Regions from separate parts of the Mus musculus genome. Here region 1 is reported to be linked to region 2. Evidence: microRNA targets listed by miRTarBase, many of them from high-throughput screens and not tested one by one. Region 2 holds a microRNA gene; the other region holds the end of a gene's coding sequence.

Region 1 (8,126 bases), not on the chromosome of region 2:
AGGACTTTTGGGATTTCTGAGCAAGGAGAAGACAAAGGAATTCCACTATGAGGGGGCTTAGTACTGACCACCCCATACCCCATGATGACAGGGAAGCAGAGAGTTCATCATTAAGACAGGGAAATGACCCCAGAGGCCACTCACCATCTTCGGTCTAGGGTAACAAAGATAAAATATAGATTTAGAAAGTGTTCACTGAAGAGTACGGATGGAAGTGTATGCTAGCTGAAGGGAGGTTTGCAAATGCCTGGCCACTGAACTAGTCAAGGCATATTAAAATTAAGCTGACCCGAGTCTGTGTATGTGTGTGTGTGTGTGTTGTGGTGTATGGTGTGTGTGTGTTCTAATTGTGTGTGTGTCTGTCTGTCTGTCTGCCTGCCTGTCTGTCTCTCTGTCTCTCTCTGTCTCTCTGTCTTTCATTCGCAAATCCAGAAAATTCTGGCAGGTGACAAGAAGTGTGATCACACGTTCTGACCCCACTCCCAGAAGGGAGATCAAGGTAGATTATTCACTGCTACACATAAGAATCATCCCACCAAGAACACTTTTAGAACAGTTGACATAATAGGTATTATTTCACTGTGGGTGCTTATCTAGGAACTTTCATACTACTGTCAAGATGAAGCAGGATGATGTCTTTCTATTTTTAATTATCTCTTTCTATCTGTATTATTTTTCTTGACTTTGTGTCCCTATGGAACTATAGAATTCCAGGACTTACTGTACAATGTAGTTATTTTTACATGCTGAGACAAACTGTGAATTTAAAATCATACTAGCTAGTGTAAAGATCTGTTTCCACTAATTTGAACTTCAAAAATTTGTACAATTAAACTATTTGCATCTGCACTTTGATTTTCTCCATCTCTGTCTCTATTTCTGCTGTCTTTATTTCTGTCTGTCTCTGTATGTGTACGTGTACATGTATATATATACATATATATATATGTATATATACACATACATATATATATACATACATATATATATATATATAAAGGAAGAATCCCCAGTGTCCTTCTTTACCAATTTCTACCTATTCACTGGAGACAGAGCTTCTCACTGAAGCTGGAGCTAGGCAGGTAGACAGAAAATCGAGTGATTTTATTTTTGTCTCTGTCACACTTCCTGCACAGAACTGAGGTTATAGGTGAGCGCATTACCATGGCCATATTTTTTATATAGATGTTGGAGTCTGAATTAGGGCCTTTTTGCTTGCACAGCAAGTGTTCTTATCCACTGAGCATAACCTCAGCTCAATAACTTCCACTATCCAAGGAATGATGATATATGTGCAAACATGACAGATTTTTGTCATATAAAACAAATTCCCAGTGTTATTAGTAATGGTGATAATTATAGTAAAGTAATCAAAGATATGTGTAAAAGTCATGGAAACAATATGGCTTTGCATTAGAAATAAGAATTAAAGTCATGGAGGCATAAATTAAAAATTGTGATACATACAATTTAATAGGGTTTTTGACTTCTTAAAATATCTTTGTTATTCAAGCTTCTTCATCATTAAAATAAAGTAATATAACCATACTCAGTGTTCATATGACAAGCAGAAATTATATAGAGTAGTGCTTAGACATGCATCCAGTATATAAATGATGAAAAGGTTCTATTATAATTGTTAAAGAAGAGATTAATCTAATCTAAAAAATTATGTCTTAGAATTGAGATGGGTAATTATTTTTCTATTTTATGACCTTACTTTTTAAATTGTGTTTTAGAATATTACTCTAGAATGATTATTTCCATCATAATTTTATAAGTAGTTATCTACTTTCCTATTACCCCACTTGCATTTTTCAATGTAGCATATGGTTTATGTGTCTTAATCATCTTTATACCCCCAAATTCTAGGAAATATCTGTGAAATAAGTTAATGCTGATTTCATTTTGTCTTTATAAGTAAAATACATAACTACTTGGATTTTTTCTTTAATCATTGGTATATATTTATTATACAGCATATTGGTATATATTTATTGTACACATTACAAATTTTATAATGTACTCATTATAAAATTTTCATACTTGTATAACTTTTTCTTTGCTTATACTGATGCAACCCCAAACTACCCACAATATTGTCTTTCCTGCTACATTCTAGAATGCGTTAAAAAAAAAACAAATAGTTCCTCCTGAAAATGTGCATGTATACACTTATATGTATATATAATATAGAAAAACGTGATTTTTAGTGTGACCTATTGCATTCATCATCATGAATTATAAATACATTAGTTTTCTTGCAAATGACATAATTTAATTCTTCTTTATGGCTGAACAAACCTCCACCATGTATACATGCCATGGTTTCTCTATCCATTTGTCTGTGGATAGACATCTGGGGTGTCTCCACAACCTAGTTGTTGTGAGTAGCACTGTAATAAACAGATGTTCAGGGAACTCAAATAGTATATTGACACAGATTTTAGGGGGTATATGCTCTGCAAAAGCTGCTACCGCTACTACTTATGAGCCAGATCATACAGTAGTTGTCATTAAGAAAGAATAAAATATTTTAAAAATTAAACTGAAATTAATCAATTATTGTGTATATTGCTAAATATTTCTTTTTAAACATTTCAACATTTGTTTTCTAGTTAATGAAAAGATAATACTAGATTTTTAAAAGGTGATAAATTTTTAGTTTATTTTGTTTTATTTTGAGGTTCCATGATCACCACATTATTTTTAGTATAATTTCAGCATCAGACAGTTAACTCAGCACCCATTATGAAATGCCATTAAAGTTAGGATTATTGGCCTAACATAATAGAAATCACCTTTCCTGTGAAATTGAAAGTATCTCTCATTAAAACAGTCTACTTTCATCCTAGTACAGCAATATCTACCTGTAATCCAGACACTGCTCTGAGACTGGAAAGCCAACAAAATCCAGCAGTAGGAACCAGTTTATGCAACATATAGAACACTGATTTAGAAAACAAACTTTTTACTTCTATACATTTACTTTTAATTTTCTAAAAAAAAAAAAGACTAAGAAAGTAAAAATAATTTTAGTAAAGCAAATTTATTAAGAACTATATTTCACTAAATATTCACACTCAACATTTTATTTACCTATGGGACAAACAGGATGCAGAGCTGTTTAATTAAAGAGAATGCATATATTTTAAAATAGGCAAAAGGAAAGTGAAAGTGATTACTATGAATTTTTAAGATATTTTTTGAGGAGACATATTCAATTGTGATCCCAAATTTGGCAACTAAATAATTAAGGTAAGTCTCGAGTCTACTAGTTTAAATGGCTAATAATCAATTCACAATCAATCAGATCTAGTGACTGAAGAAAGTTCTACATGAGTTTTGATTCCAACCCACATATTGTTCGTTCAATTACATTTTATAAATATTTTATTATTTTTTGAAAATTTGATATAATGTAAATCTGCCCTCCACTTCTCCATGTGACTCTCCGCAGATCCACCCCCACCTCACTGCCTCCTCAGCTTCATGCTTTTATTCTTTTTTAAATGTAATAGCTCAGTCATTATAAGGCATGGTGTACCTATACTACTGGGCTTGAATCCTTCTACCAGAACATGATAACTCTACCAGGACTCGAATAGAAAACTGAGTGTCCCTCAAACAGAAGCCATCACTGCCCATAGGGCATCAGATGGGGATTGAGGCTAAGAAATCTCTTCACACTCCATCCTAGAATGCTGCCATATAAAAAAACAATAAGAGGCCCCAAATAATAAATTTGAAGCATATAAAACTTAAATAGAACATGAAAATTACTAAAGTTGTTCATATGTAGTTTGCAACAGCTAAATAATGTTAAGGCTTTTGTGGTATTAATAGCTTGTTTATAATTTATATTCTATTGTATAAACTGACAAACTCTACTCATAAATGAAAGCTTATATAAATGCTGAACATCAATGATTTATGCTTGCTGTCAGCCTCATAAGGACACTAGTTAAAATGACTTGTATCGATCACAGGTTAATCTCTACAGATAGAGAATTGCATGTTTGATTTGATAAAAATATATGAATACTAAAATTAATTTTAAAAGCCTAGAGGAAGAAGAAAGGGGGAAAATATTGCCACTTATTTATTTCTTAACAGAATGATGTAGCAACAGGACAATTTCAGAAAAAAGTGAAGCAATTTATAAAAGCTTCACAATAAGCAAGACTGAAATATACAAAGTTAATGAGAATTTAATGAAACTTTCAGATATATTGAAATAGTCATAATATAATTTTGTTACCATAATGAGAATATATAATCAAAGAGATGGTAACTTTTATCAAAGGTGTGACTGCTATACAAATACATACCTTGAACCGCTAGAGAAAAAAACAATATTCTATGATGACATGAAGTGGCAAAGGAGGGAATTGTATTGTGATAAAGGGAAACACTGAGTTTATAAAGACCCTTGTCAGCTGTAATGAACATTTGTTGGGTAGATTTATATATACATGCTAGGTAGCAGAGTACAAGAAAATGCTTGCATTGCATATACAAGGCACTGGGTTGATGTCCAGTACTAGAAAAAAAAATTAGTTTAGAAAACTAAAAATTTGCTTCCTAAAATTTTACTAAACTAAAAACTAAAACTTAAATTTTACTTTCACTAAAGTAAAAATTTACTGGGCTGGCGAGATGGCTCAGCGGGTAAGAGCACTGACTGTTCTTCCAGAGGTCCTGAGTTCAAATCCCAGCAACCACATGGTGGCTCACAACCATCTGTAATGAGATCTGACACCCTCTTCTGGTGTGTCTGAAGACAGCTACAGTGTACTTATGTATAATAATAAATAAATCTTTTTAAAAAGAAAAGAAAAAATTAATTTACAGTAAAAATTTACATTCACAGCAAATTTTGGTGACTCAACAGGTGTGAAGGTCTCAAAGATGACCCATGTGCCCCTGACACTATCACACTAGAATCTGATTCAGATAGTTTCCCATCGCTGTTCCCATTCCTTTGGCTCTTGGGCTTGATGATTTCAGATTGCAGTCAAGCCGACTTGAAGCTTCAGATGTTACTGAGTCATCTGTTTTGATTAATTTTCTGGCTATGGTAAACTTCAGGTAATAATCTCTAGTAATAACCCACTCCTTCCAGGAGCCACTATCCTATTAGGCAGAGCATTCCCATCTCTTGCCTGATATTTTTCCACCAGTCACAGAAGGTAGATAAGGTAACTTAAATGACAATTAATAAAAGCTGGCAGATGTTCTCCTCTGTTACTAATTTAGTAATTATTCGTCTTTCCTAATCATTAATGAAATAATTTCATAAATTAATGAATCATTTCTATCAATCCAAGATTTTCAAAATTGTTTGAATCAGTTAACACACACATACACACAAACACACGAGAGAGAGAGAGAGAGAGAATATTTTTCTTGGAAATTCACAATGAAGTAAGGAAAACAAAAATGTGCCTCAAGTTTAAATAATTAAGACACATTCATAAAAACCAGCTCAATTAGTTGTAAGAGGAAATTTTATTTAGCTATTAGTAAGTTATTATTTATATATATATATATATTTTAGCAAATCCCAGTCATTTCTTAGAAACTAGGACTTAGGAAAAAACATGGGTCTGAAAAAAAGCCAAACAGCTATGGTCTATGTTTTATACTAGTTTAAATTTGTAGAAACACCAACAAATAGGTCGAGTGAGGTAAAACCTTTCAGTCCCACTCTGTTTCCTAGGATGTTCACAGATGGCTCTGATACAGCAAGCTGTGGTAGTCGTCTTTGTCCATGAGGAGTGGCTGCCTTTCCTCCTGGGGTTGCTTCTTCTTCTTCTTCTTCTGAAGGCATAGCCTACTGCTAAGCCCAGAGAGAGCTGCAGCAATAACAGCTCCCACCAGTGCTGCCCCAAGAAGCCATGGCCAGATACGACTGGCTTGTTCCAAGTAAGGCTCAATATAATTTCTGTAAAAGCCTGGATCTGAAATAGAAAGAGATCAAGCTGTTTTCACAGATATCACCAGCACCATCAGCAGCATTTTAGCATGCTACTTAGGAGTAAGAGGCTTGGGTTGTAATGCCAGCTGTTTTGCTTAATAAAAAGAAAATCTTGGGGGAAAATTAACCTCTTCCTTCTCAAGCACCCTTTCCTCCCTAGGAAGAAAAGAAAATAATTCTCTGCTTTTGGGATCTTTTGAAACTTGAATATAACCCTTGATGTGCAATATTGTTAGGTACTATTGTTACAATTCCTTTTGATGATTATGTAATTATACTGCTGATCTATGAAACATAGTTATATTATTAACTGTTGATGATCTGTTGATAATTTAAATTATTTGAGTAACACTGACTATACTGCTAGAAGAAACTTTGTAGTCTCAGAGCATTCTCAAGAACACTACGACATTTGTACACTCTCTGTTCTTGCAGAGATCTGTGCGTGTGTGTGTGTGTGTGTGTGTGTGTGTGTGTGTGTGTGTGTACATTGACATGTGCATGTACATGCAGAATGCACCAAGGTAAAAAAGAGGGTGAATGTACCCCCGGAGCTAAAGCTACAAGTAGTTACAAGCTGCCCATGTTGGTACTGAGATTTGAACTTCTTTCCTCTGTAAGAAAAGCAAACTCTTAACTGTTGAGATATGTCTCCAGTACTAAAATTTTCAGTCTTAAGACAATAGATTTTAGCCAAGAATATTTTAAAAATAATTTCAAGTAAGGAAAACGTGTAGCCTTTGACCATCTATAATTACTTCAAACCACATAAGAAATTACAACTGGGTTGAACAATTATGAGTTCTGCCACCCATAAATAAATTTCTACCTCCGAATCTTCTAGTACAGATAGTCTAACATACATATTTTGAAAAGAATGTACTTTTGATATTCCCCTGTACTTTTCCTAAAATTGTTCCTAGAGTCAAATTTCACCTTTAGTTTCATGTGTTTCTTATAAGCATTTTTCCACTTTTTCTATTTAGTCCAAGAAACCCTAAACATCTAAATGCTGTAAGTATAACATTTCTTCTACTATTACACCAACACATTGTATTAGAGTTACTAATTATATGTTTATGTTCTATATTATACTGACTCCTTGAAAACCCAAACTGTGGTGTGTAGAGATAATATCTTCGGTACTGTGTGGAAGCATCACTTGACAATAAATATCTAATGGCCAATAAGCTGAGGAATGATTACAAAGTGGGACACCCGGCAGAGAGAGATGAACTCTGGGAACTAGGCAATGCAGGATAGGAAGTTGAATGAGGTAACCAGCCATGTGGCAAACATAGAATAGTATAAACAGGATAACTGAGTTACAGGCTAGTCAGAGAAGCTTAGTTTAAGGTCCAGGCATTTATTAATATAATAATAAGCCTCCAAGTCATTTTTTGGGAACTGGGGTATGGGTGGAATGCTGGTGGATACAATGAAGTAATCCTGAAATTTGGTAGAGTGCCTGAATCCCATGAGAAAAGTAAATGTTTACTCCATGACTGAATGTATTATTACACTCCAAAAAGGTAATGAAGAAACATTAGGCCAATTGGGAGAGATATTCAATAGATAGCAATGGAAAACAAATTATAAATTAGCCAGTATCTACTATGTTTTGAGGTAAAACTTAGAGTTTATTTTTAAAATCAGGTATTGGTCATGATGTATTTTATATATATTAAAATAAAAATATGGAGCATTGGCTCTCAGAGAAAAAATATAAGAAATCACTATATCAGACAGATTCAGTGTAGAAAAATAACAAAAAATTCAAAATGTGTCTTTAAGTGACAGTCCCATATTGAAATGGTACAAATAAAATAGGTTTGTAAGAGAAGTAAACTCATTTATACATGAAGACACCTGAGATAGACTTGATGAATAAAAAGATATTGCTATTTACATATTATTTGGAAACATGGAATAATTTTTAAAAATTTAGCTACACAAGTTATGGTAGCCGACTTGGGGCACTAACCTGGTGAAAGCATAAACATGGAAAGTGAAGTCATTGTTTTGGTATTTGGAAAAATCTAGCCTTTAAAATTACACATATCGTTATTTGACAAAATGAAATTAAGAAACATGGTGAATGACATGATTTACATCTGAGAATAAAATGTAAGCAGATACAAAATAT
Region 2 (8,126 bases):
ACAATGAACTTCATGATTTCATATTTTCCTGCTGGATTAGGTCTTTCTTTGGTCTGTTCCATCGTTGATATGCTTTGACTCTTTGTGGAATAATATTGTTTATTCTTAGCATTGTATGTTGGAATCATAACAGTCTCATTGAAGATCATGGAAGACTGTGGTAGAGTAAGAGGCAGGATTCACTCTATGAGAGTTGACGCAAGATAATGTGTTTAAATGGGAATGTTGCCCTTTACTCCTATGTTGAATACTTCTTTTCCAGTACCTGGAAGTCTTTCAGAGGAGTAGGCAAAAATTATAGGATAATCATTGTGGGGAATTTGGGTGACAGCTACCTCTATATCTAAGGTAGGAGAGGTTTGCCACCACAAATAGCAAAAAGCTCACTCGGTAAATAAAATAATCCACCTGTAGCTTTGGATTCGAGGTAGGTACTTTATCTACTTCACAGAGAAGAGGGCTTATCTTGTTTTCATCCTAATCTGTCATTTGTGCTCCCCAAATTCTATTGCTTATTAAAGAGGGGAACTCTTAAGTAGGAGAATTAGCCCCAGGCAATGAGTTCCCTATTTGGCTAATCAATGCAAGTCAGTCAGTCCTTGAATCATACACATAACCAATAAAAATGCAGTCAGCAAGTTTTATTTATGTATTTGAGTCTTCATAGTCACACATGTATGTAACAAGGAAGAAATTGGCAGGGAAGATTTAGGATGGAGAGGGGAGAAGTAAGGGGATAAATTGTTGAAGGATATTTGAATATGGTTAATAGAAAACCTAATTTGTATTGAAATATCCAAACTTAGGAAGATACTGCCTTTTCAAATGCAGCTAAGTGTGTCTTGGAAAGGTGTATTTTGGGTGTGCCTCTGAAAGCCAAAGCCTCAATACAAGAGAATGCTAAGGAATGGAAAGAGCCTGCCCAGTTTAAGGCAAGTTACTTGGGAGGGGTCTTGAGGTCTTTGCTGAATGACTTGGGGCAAAGTCACCTTGGATGGCATTGAGATGCTCTTCTGTAAAGGTGAGAAGTTTTAGCTCCCTACAGACTTGACCCCGGTCCTCCCACCATTACCTCCCCCTGGAGCTGACCTGCTGCAGCCTGCCAAGGATGTAGTAAGGGAGATAGAGCCTGGTTTTGTAGCAATAAGACATTTGAGCTTTCTCCTGGTGGGCACTCTCTTTGTACTCTATCTCTATCTCTTGGCTTAGAATAGCATTGTGGAAGCAGAGTACTAAGAAATAGCAGGACACAGATGAGGCAGGATTTGAAGAAAGAGAGCAAAGGAGCCCTCCTGGGTTAAGGTGAGCTCAAGAGAAAGGTAGACTATCTGTGTAAACCGGCATAGACAAAGATTTCTGAGCATCTAGCAGTTTAGTTGTACATTCAAGCTTGCAAATAGGTATTTTGCATACAGTTAAGGAAATGAAGTTAGCTCACTAGGCAAGCATGTTTTTACCAAATCTCCCACCTCATTTGACATTATTGGGAATATATATTAGAAAAATGTAAAAAGGTAAAAGTTACGTGAAGTGTTGTATTATGTTCTAATTTAAATGCATAAAATTTATTTTACAAGGAAAATATAATAAACACAGATATAGTCATGAGCATTGGATGTTGTTCCAGGTAATGCAGATTTCATTCCAAAAAACCTCAAGGCTGTAATTCAATTGCTGTAACTGCAATCCAGAGGGATATGATGCCCTCTTCTGACCACTGTAGGTAATGCACACAGACAGGACCCAGCAAAAGACTCACATATATAAAATAAAAATAACGTATAAAATGTGGAATCTTCTACAGAGATGACACAGCCTTGAGACACACAGCATTCAGGATGCACTTCTTTCTGGTCCTACAGAGATGCACCTGTGCCTTTCCTCTGAACCAAGTTGCTGAGTAAAAAAGCAGCCTTATTCTGAGGTTAGACTAGCTCAGCACACCTGCTCACGTAAGAACGGTAACCACAGTGCTGTTAGGTGATGTTTCCTTGATATTTTCTGTATTTGTGTTCTCTGTCCATTGTATATGGAGAGTTGTGGCATTGATACATCTTTTAAATTTACTTTTAGATCATACATTATGGACTAAAAGATAGATTTACTCTGTAAATCTCCATCTGCCTCAGTGACTATTGTTCAAACTATAGCTGTGGCCCAAACCTAAGAGAGACTTAGGTACAACAGCATATTGGGAACTAAAAATTCTGTTCTAGGCTGGCTCTTCTTTGGGCATCAGTCAAAGATGAATGCGTGATCTTTTCCTATGAAAGGATGCTAATTCTACCTGTTACACCTCCAGCCTTTCAGAAAATTATTTCTGAGACAAGGTTTCTTCTGGTGAGTCATGTAGCTCTCATTCCACTCTGTTATGTCTCAGGGCAGTAACATTGCAATCCTGTTGTTTAACCCAACTAAATTCATTTTTGTTTTGTTTTGTTTTTTCGAGACAGGGTTTCTCTGTGTAGCTCTGGCTGTCCTGGAACTCACTCTGTAGACCAGGCTGGCCTAGAACTCAGAAATCTGCCTGCCTCTGCCTCCTGAATGCTGGGATTAAAGGTGAACGCCACCACGCCCAGTTCCAACTAAATTCTTAAGTTAACATCTGTACCACCACTGTGTTTTAAAATTATGCATTTGAGTCATGTAATCAACTGTTTACTCAGTCAAGAGGAAAAGCATTTGCATGAGGGGCATAGCGTCTGCATTCTGACCAGAATAGGAAGAAGTTTATTGTGTACACTAATGGGGGAAACAGGGTGGGTAATCAGCTGCTAGAGTTGCCATAATGAAAAGTGCCCGATGCTGGCATGGAGGTAATTTCATAATTTTGCAGCATGTCTTAATTCATGTTGGGTAAATGAAAGCAGACTAGATCGGTGGGTGTATGATTTGTGATGTCAGTTAAGCCGGTGAATACTCAAATTGCAGTTAGGTTACTACTGTCCTATGAGATATGTGCAATCCTCATTGACATAATTAAGTCAGCTCAGAAATTTAAAACACAGGACTTCATTGGCTGTAGTTGAGTGTGTCAAGTTACAGGTCTCAGCAGGCAACAATCCACATAGAGGCAAGGTCAAACAGTATTTGAAAGATGGTATTCCTTCTACCAGGAAAAGGACTATTCTTTTACAAAGTCAGAATGGCTATGTGTTTTTTCAATAATATTTATGTTTGTAAAAAGTCAATTATTGGTTTGCTTTAAATGCAGCACTGCTCTGATCTCTTACTTGTATCCATTCTGTGATGTTTCTCAGGCGTAAGAATTTCTTTCCATTTCTTTTACAAGTGCTGCTTAGGACAAGGTCTCCCGAAGCCCAGGCTGGCTCATGCCATGTAATTCAGAATTGCCTTGAACATCTAATCCTTTCTCTAAAGCCACATGATGGGAAGACAGTCCTGCATCTCTTCTAGGCTAGGCTTTGAAGGTGAACATTTTTCTGGTATGGCTGTACTTGACATTAGCATTGAGTAGTAAGGTCACCAATTTTCCATCTTGATAATCACCTTGATTGGCCATTACTCTGGTCTGCAGACCAGGCAATTAATAATCTGGATAAAGGGGCTGGGGAGAAGGCTCAGCGGGTAAGAACACTGACTGCTCTTCCCAAGGTCCTGAGTTCAAATCCCAGCAACCACATGGTGGCTCACAAATATCCATAATGAGATCTGGAGTGTCTGAAGTCAGCTACAGTGTAATTATGTATAATAATAATAAATAAATCCTTTGGGCCAGAGCAAGCAGGGACTAAGTGAGTGGGACTGACCAGAGTGAAGCAGAGGTCTGAAAAATTCAATTCTCCACAGCCACATGAATGCTCACAACCATCTGTACAGCTACAGTGTACTCATATACATAAAAAATAAATATATAAATCTAATAAGAAATAATCTGGATAAAAACTGAACTTCCTGTCAACTGTTGTTGCCACCAATGTAATTATTTCAAATAACTGTACTTACAGGAGTTCAGTTACCTAAAACCAAACAGATGGGCACTTTGAGGGGTTTTTATTATTTTCACCAATAAACATGAGAAAACCCTTCTTTAATCTGCAAGTTTAGATTGAGATGAAAAAAATTAATCAAGGCCAGAAGTTCTGCTGTGAGCCTAAATATATAAAGGATATTGAAGATGGTAGTTCTTTCTCTTTCTCTTCTTCCCACATACTGGCTTGCAAGGTCTTTTTATTTTTCTGACATTAAGGCTCCATCTGTGGAATTCTATTACGTGGTGAACACCAGCTGAGACCTATAGACACAACTGTTTTCTTCAACTCTCCATTGATACAGTCATTGATTTACTAGTGGGGCCACATTCTGTGAGCCATTCTTATCTATCCACTTCCTGCATACTTAGAGAGATCCATGCTCTGAATTCTGTTCATCTGGAAAACCTTTACTAATACAGACATGTTTTTTCACCTTCCCAAGTAGGAAGATGTGCTGGCGAACAATAATGCTCCTTAGTGAGTGGCATCCATCCCCTCCTTTTTTCCCAGGGCTGTCTGGAGTCTCATATGTAGCAATTGCATATCAGCTGCGGTTTTCCTGATGTCAGTGTAAAATGAGAGAAGCAAACATCACATTTTGTGTCCTAAAATCTCTCTTTAATTGTAAATATCCTTGGAACCTATAGTTCACTCTTTGTCAAGTTGAATAATGTACTCTGCAAGGTGTGGCTCTTAATTCCTTGTTGGAGGAGGGGGCAGAGCGAGGAGTAGGAGAACCGGGGGCGGCCTTGGAGGAGCAAGAAGAAGAAATTCCTGCTGAGTTCTGGATGACAGAAAGATAGACTATTGGAGGACAGGACTGAAAGAAAGTCTTGCAGATCTGAAAAGGGTCAGCTCCTGGATAAGAAACCCGATCTTGGAAGCCCTATGCTGTGTGCCTTCAGTGCACTCTAACCCTAAGGGAGGTGCTCATGTCAATCAAGTCTCACTAACCAATCAGGGCCTCCGGATAGGCCCGCCAATAGAAGTAGAGGCGTGTTCTTTAGTGTGCCTTGTTCCCCTGCTCTGCGTTCCGCTCCGTTGCGAGCAGGCTGAAAAATTGGTGTGATGTGTTTTGATGTCTGCTGACAGGGGCCTTAGGGAATTGCCAGCGATCTACAACGTGGCGACATGGTGAGCGTGTGACCACTGCCCTTAACCGGAAGGAGCAGGGAGTTAAGCAGCTGGAGTCCGGGTGATGGGATACAGGGGACCAGCCCTGACTGTTCTTGGTTCCTCTTCAGGCAGCGGAGGGGGAAAGAGTGTTTGAGGTGACAAGACTTGGTTTTCAGGGATGTTTAGGGTTGCTGTTTAGTATTAAGACATTTGCCTATCTTAAGTCTCAGTCGCGTTGCAGCCGAAGCTGACCTGCCCGAGTTCCTCTGAGGCAAGGCTGGACGCTGCAATCTCTGGTATTTAGAGCCTCCTCTTAAAAAGACAGGGGATTAAGTGAGTAGCTTTTGTTCTATCTCCACAGAAACTGGGCTGCTCTAACTTCCATCCTGCTAGTTGAAGTCACAGGAAGAAAGGCGGGACACTTTTAAACATGTCTTTAATCTTTATTTCCAAGTTCTTCTAAAAAGTTTCCTATGAAAGTTCTCTAAGGAAAGGGAGTGGGTGATTAAGTAAAGGAGTCATTGCTAGAGCCTTTCCCTCTTGTCCAGATGCCTCTTGCTTGCTAAGCTTGGGGGAAGTTTGGAGCAATAAACTTCTCTTAAACCAGGAGAAGAGAGTCACCCTCACAGAAGCACATTTGGATAAAATCACATAAATTCATATACAAATTCATACCCTTTTAGGAGGTTAGTTTGGTCCAATGTATGTTGAATTTCCAAGTAGAGGGGACTCCTTTGCAGATATGTCCAATCCACTTGCACAGTTACTTCAGCTCAGAGTGTTGAGAAGCTGTGTGTTAGGTTGCATCTCTCAGCAGCTGACATTGCACGTGGGGTGAGATCAAACTATATCTTCTTTTTGGGGGTTTTTAAATTTTTATCTTTTTGGGGTTTTTTTTTTTGAGACAGGGTTCCTCTGTATAGCCCTGACTATCCTGGAACTAAATATGTAGACCAGGTTGTCCTCGAACTCAGAAACCCGCCTGCCTCTTCCTCCCAAGTGCTGGGATTAAAGGCTTGCACCACCACTTGGCTTAACTTTATCTTCTTATGTCATTATCTCTGCCAGGGAATGGCCTGCAATTTTTCAAGATCACTCTCCTTTACCAATAACCAGACCAACGCCCAATGGCTTATCAACCCTCTCTTCTATAGAAGATTCTGATGCTAGGAATATTTGCTCAAAGGCACATACATCCTGTTTTCTATTATACTTTTAATATGTATGATATATTGTAGTGTGATTAGTGAGTCAAAGTAGCTGGGTGTCTGTATCAGACCCTGTCTCAAACACAGGAAATAATCAAAATTGTATTTGTGATAGGCTTGCAGACTCCAGTTTTTCTGTCTTTTACAAATTAATATTAAGGTTAAAATTAGATTCCTTGTTAAAAGTCACCTTCTTTGTTTGTTTGTTTGTTTGTCTTTGTGACTTGTTCTTTATTTATAGTTTTGTGATTTCCACATTAGAAATGGATTCCAACATTCCTGATATGTTCTGTTAACTGTGTGATAGTGAACTAAGTTACTAACTGAAAAAGATTCCACTTTTGTAAGCATATGCTATGTACATAGGCCTTGAGCTTGACTATAAAAGCACTCCCCTGCTTTTTAATAAATCGATTTCTCTTTATTCAAATTACGGCGTGCTCACTGCCTTCCTCCCAGTCACCCCCTCCCCATAATTCTTCCTCCATCCCCCCCCCCCCCTGAGTCGATGGGCCACATTGTATTACCTAGATTTGGTAATACAATGTATTTGGTAGGACTCATGTAGTATTTTGGTTTCATAGTAAGTTCAAATTTTTATTCAGATTCTTGATTGCCTGGTGTGTGGACCCAAAAAATGGGCCAGTCAGACTCTTGTCAATGGTCTAAAATTGATTGCCTCACTGTTCATTCTTTTTTTTTTTTTTAAGATTTATTTATTATTATACATAAGTACACTGTAGCTGACTTCAGACACACCAGAAGAGGGCATCAGATCTCATTACTGGTGGTTGTGAGCCACCATGTGGTTGCTGGGATTTGAACTCAGGACCTTCAGAAGAACAGTCCGTGCTCTTACCTGCTAAGCCATCTCGCCATCCCTCGCTGTTCATTCTTTTTTTTTTTTTTTAAAGACTTATTTATTTATTTATTTATTATATGTAAGTACACTGTAGCTGTCCTCAGACACTCCAGAAGAGGGAGTCAGATCTCATTACGGATGGTTGTGAGCCACCATGTGGTTGCTGGGATTTGAACTGCTGACCTTCGGAAGAACAGTCGGGTGCTCTTACCCACTGAGCCATCTCACCAGCCCCGCTGTTCATTCTTAATATTACATACTGTCAAAGCAGCAAAGTTATCTACTTCTTTTTGTCCTGTCCTTTCTGGGCTGTGACTACACTACTTTCAAAGTTCCTGAACTAGAATCCTGAGCATTGAAGGTGTATGTGTGCCTTCAGCACACTCCAACCCTAAGGAGCATGCTTATGTCACTCAAGAATCACTGGCCAATCTCGGCACCGGGGCAGGCCAATCAGGAGAATAGGAGGGTTCTTCTCAGTACCTTCTACCATACTGGAGGTTCACCTCTATTGTGAGACTGTGACAGCTGCCCCTAACCTGAAAGAGCAGGGGCATGAACAATTGAAGCTGGGGAAGTGGGCACTTTCCTTGGCTGGGTGAGAAGCAGTGGCCAGATATGCTGAGCCATCTCTCCAGCCCCAAGTTAAACACTTTAAAAAGTTGCCTTGGATGAATGGCTGGATGGATGGGTAGATGGGTGGGTGGGTGGGGCAGAACCTTCAAATAGTCTTGTTCTGAGGTTAGAAAAGATCAGCAGGCATGTTCATATTAGAACCGTAACTACAGTGCTCTTAGGTGATGTTTCCTTGATATTTTCTGTATTTGTGTTCTCTGTCCTTTATGTATGACAGAGTTGTGGCATGGATCTATCTTTTAAAACTCTTTTCTAGATCTTACATTATGGACTAAAAGATAGTTTTGCTCTGTAAAACTCCATCAGGCT

The links. Region 2 holds the annotated microRNA mmu-miR-713 (UGCACUGAAGGCACACAGC, at 4,886-4,904, opposite strand). A microRNA usually pairs through its seed, bases 2 to 8, with sites in the 3' UTR of a target mRNA and lowers its output. Matches are read on the target gene's strand: a 7mer-m8 pairs with bases 2 to 8, a 7mer-A1 pairs with bases 2 to 7 and ends in A, and an 8mer does both.
Region 1: miRTarBase lists Tyr as a target of mmu-miR-713. Seed matches in the 3' UTR shown: 7mer-m8 at 4,678-4,684.

The regions. Positions count from the first base shown.
Region 1 is chr7:87,423,322-87,431,447 of GRCm38, forward strand. It overlaps Tyr (tyrosinase), which reads right to left. Exons shown (of 5, transcript NM_011661.5): 5 at 1,450-5,963. The coding sequence ends at 5,728. Among named protein-coding and RNA genes, the nearest start is that of Tyr, 66 kb to the right of the region's middle.
Region 2 is chr13:62,757,585-62,765,710 of GRCm38, reverse strand. Mir713 (microRNA 713) reads right to left here and starts at 4,972; the gene lies at 4,865-4,972. It also overlaps Platr25.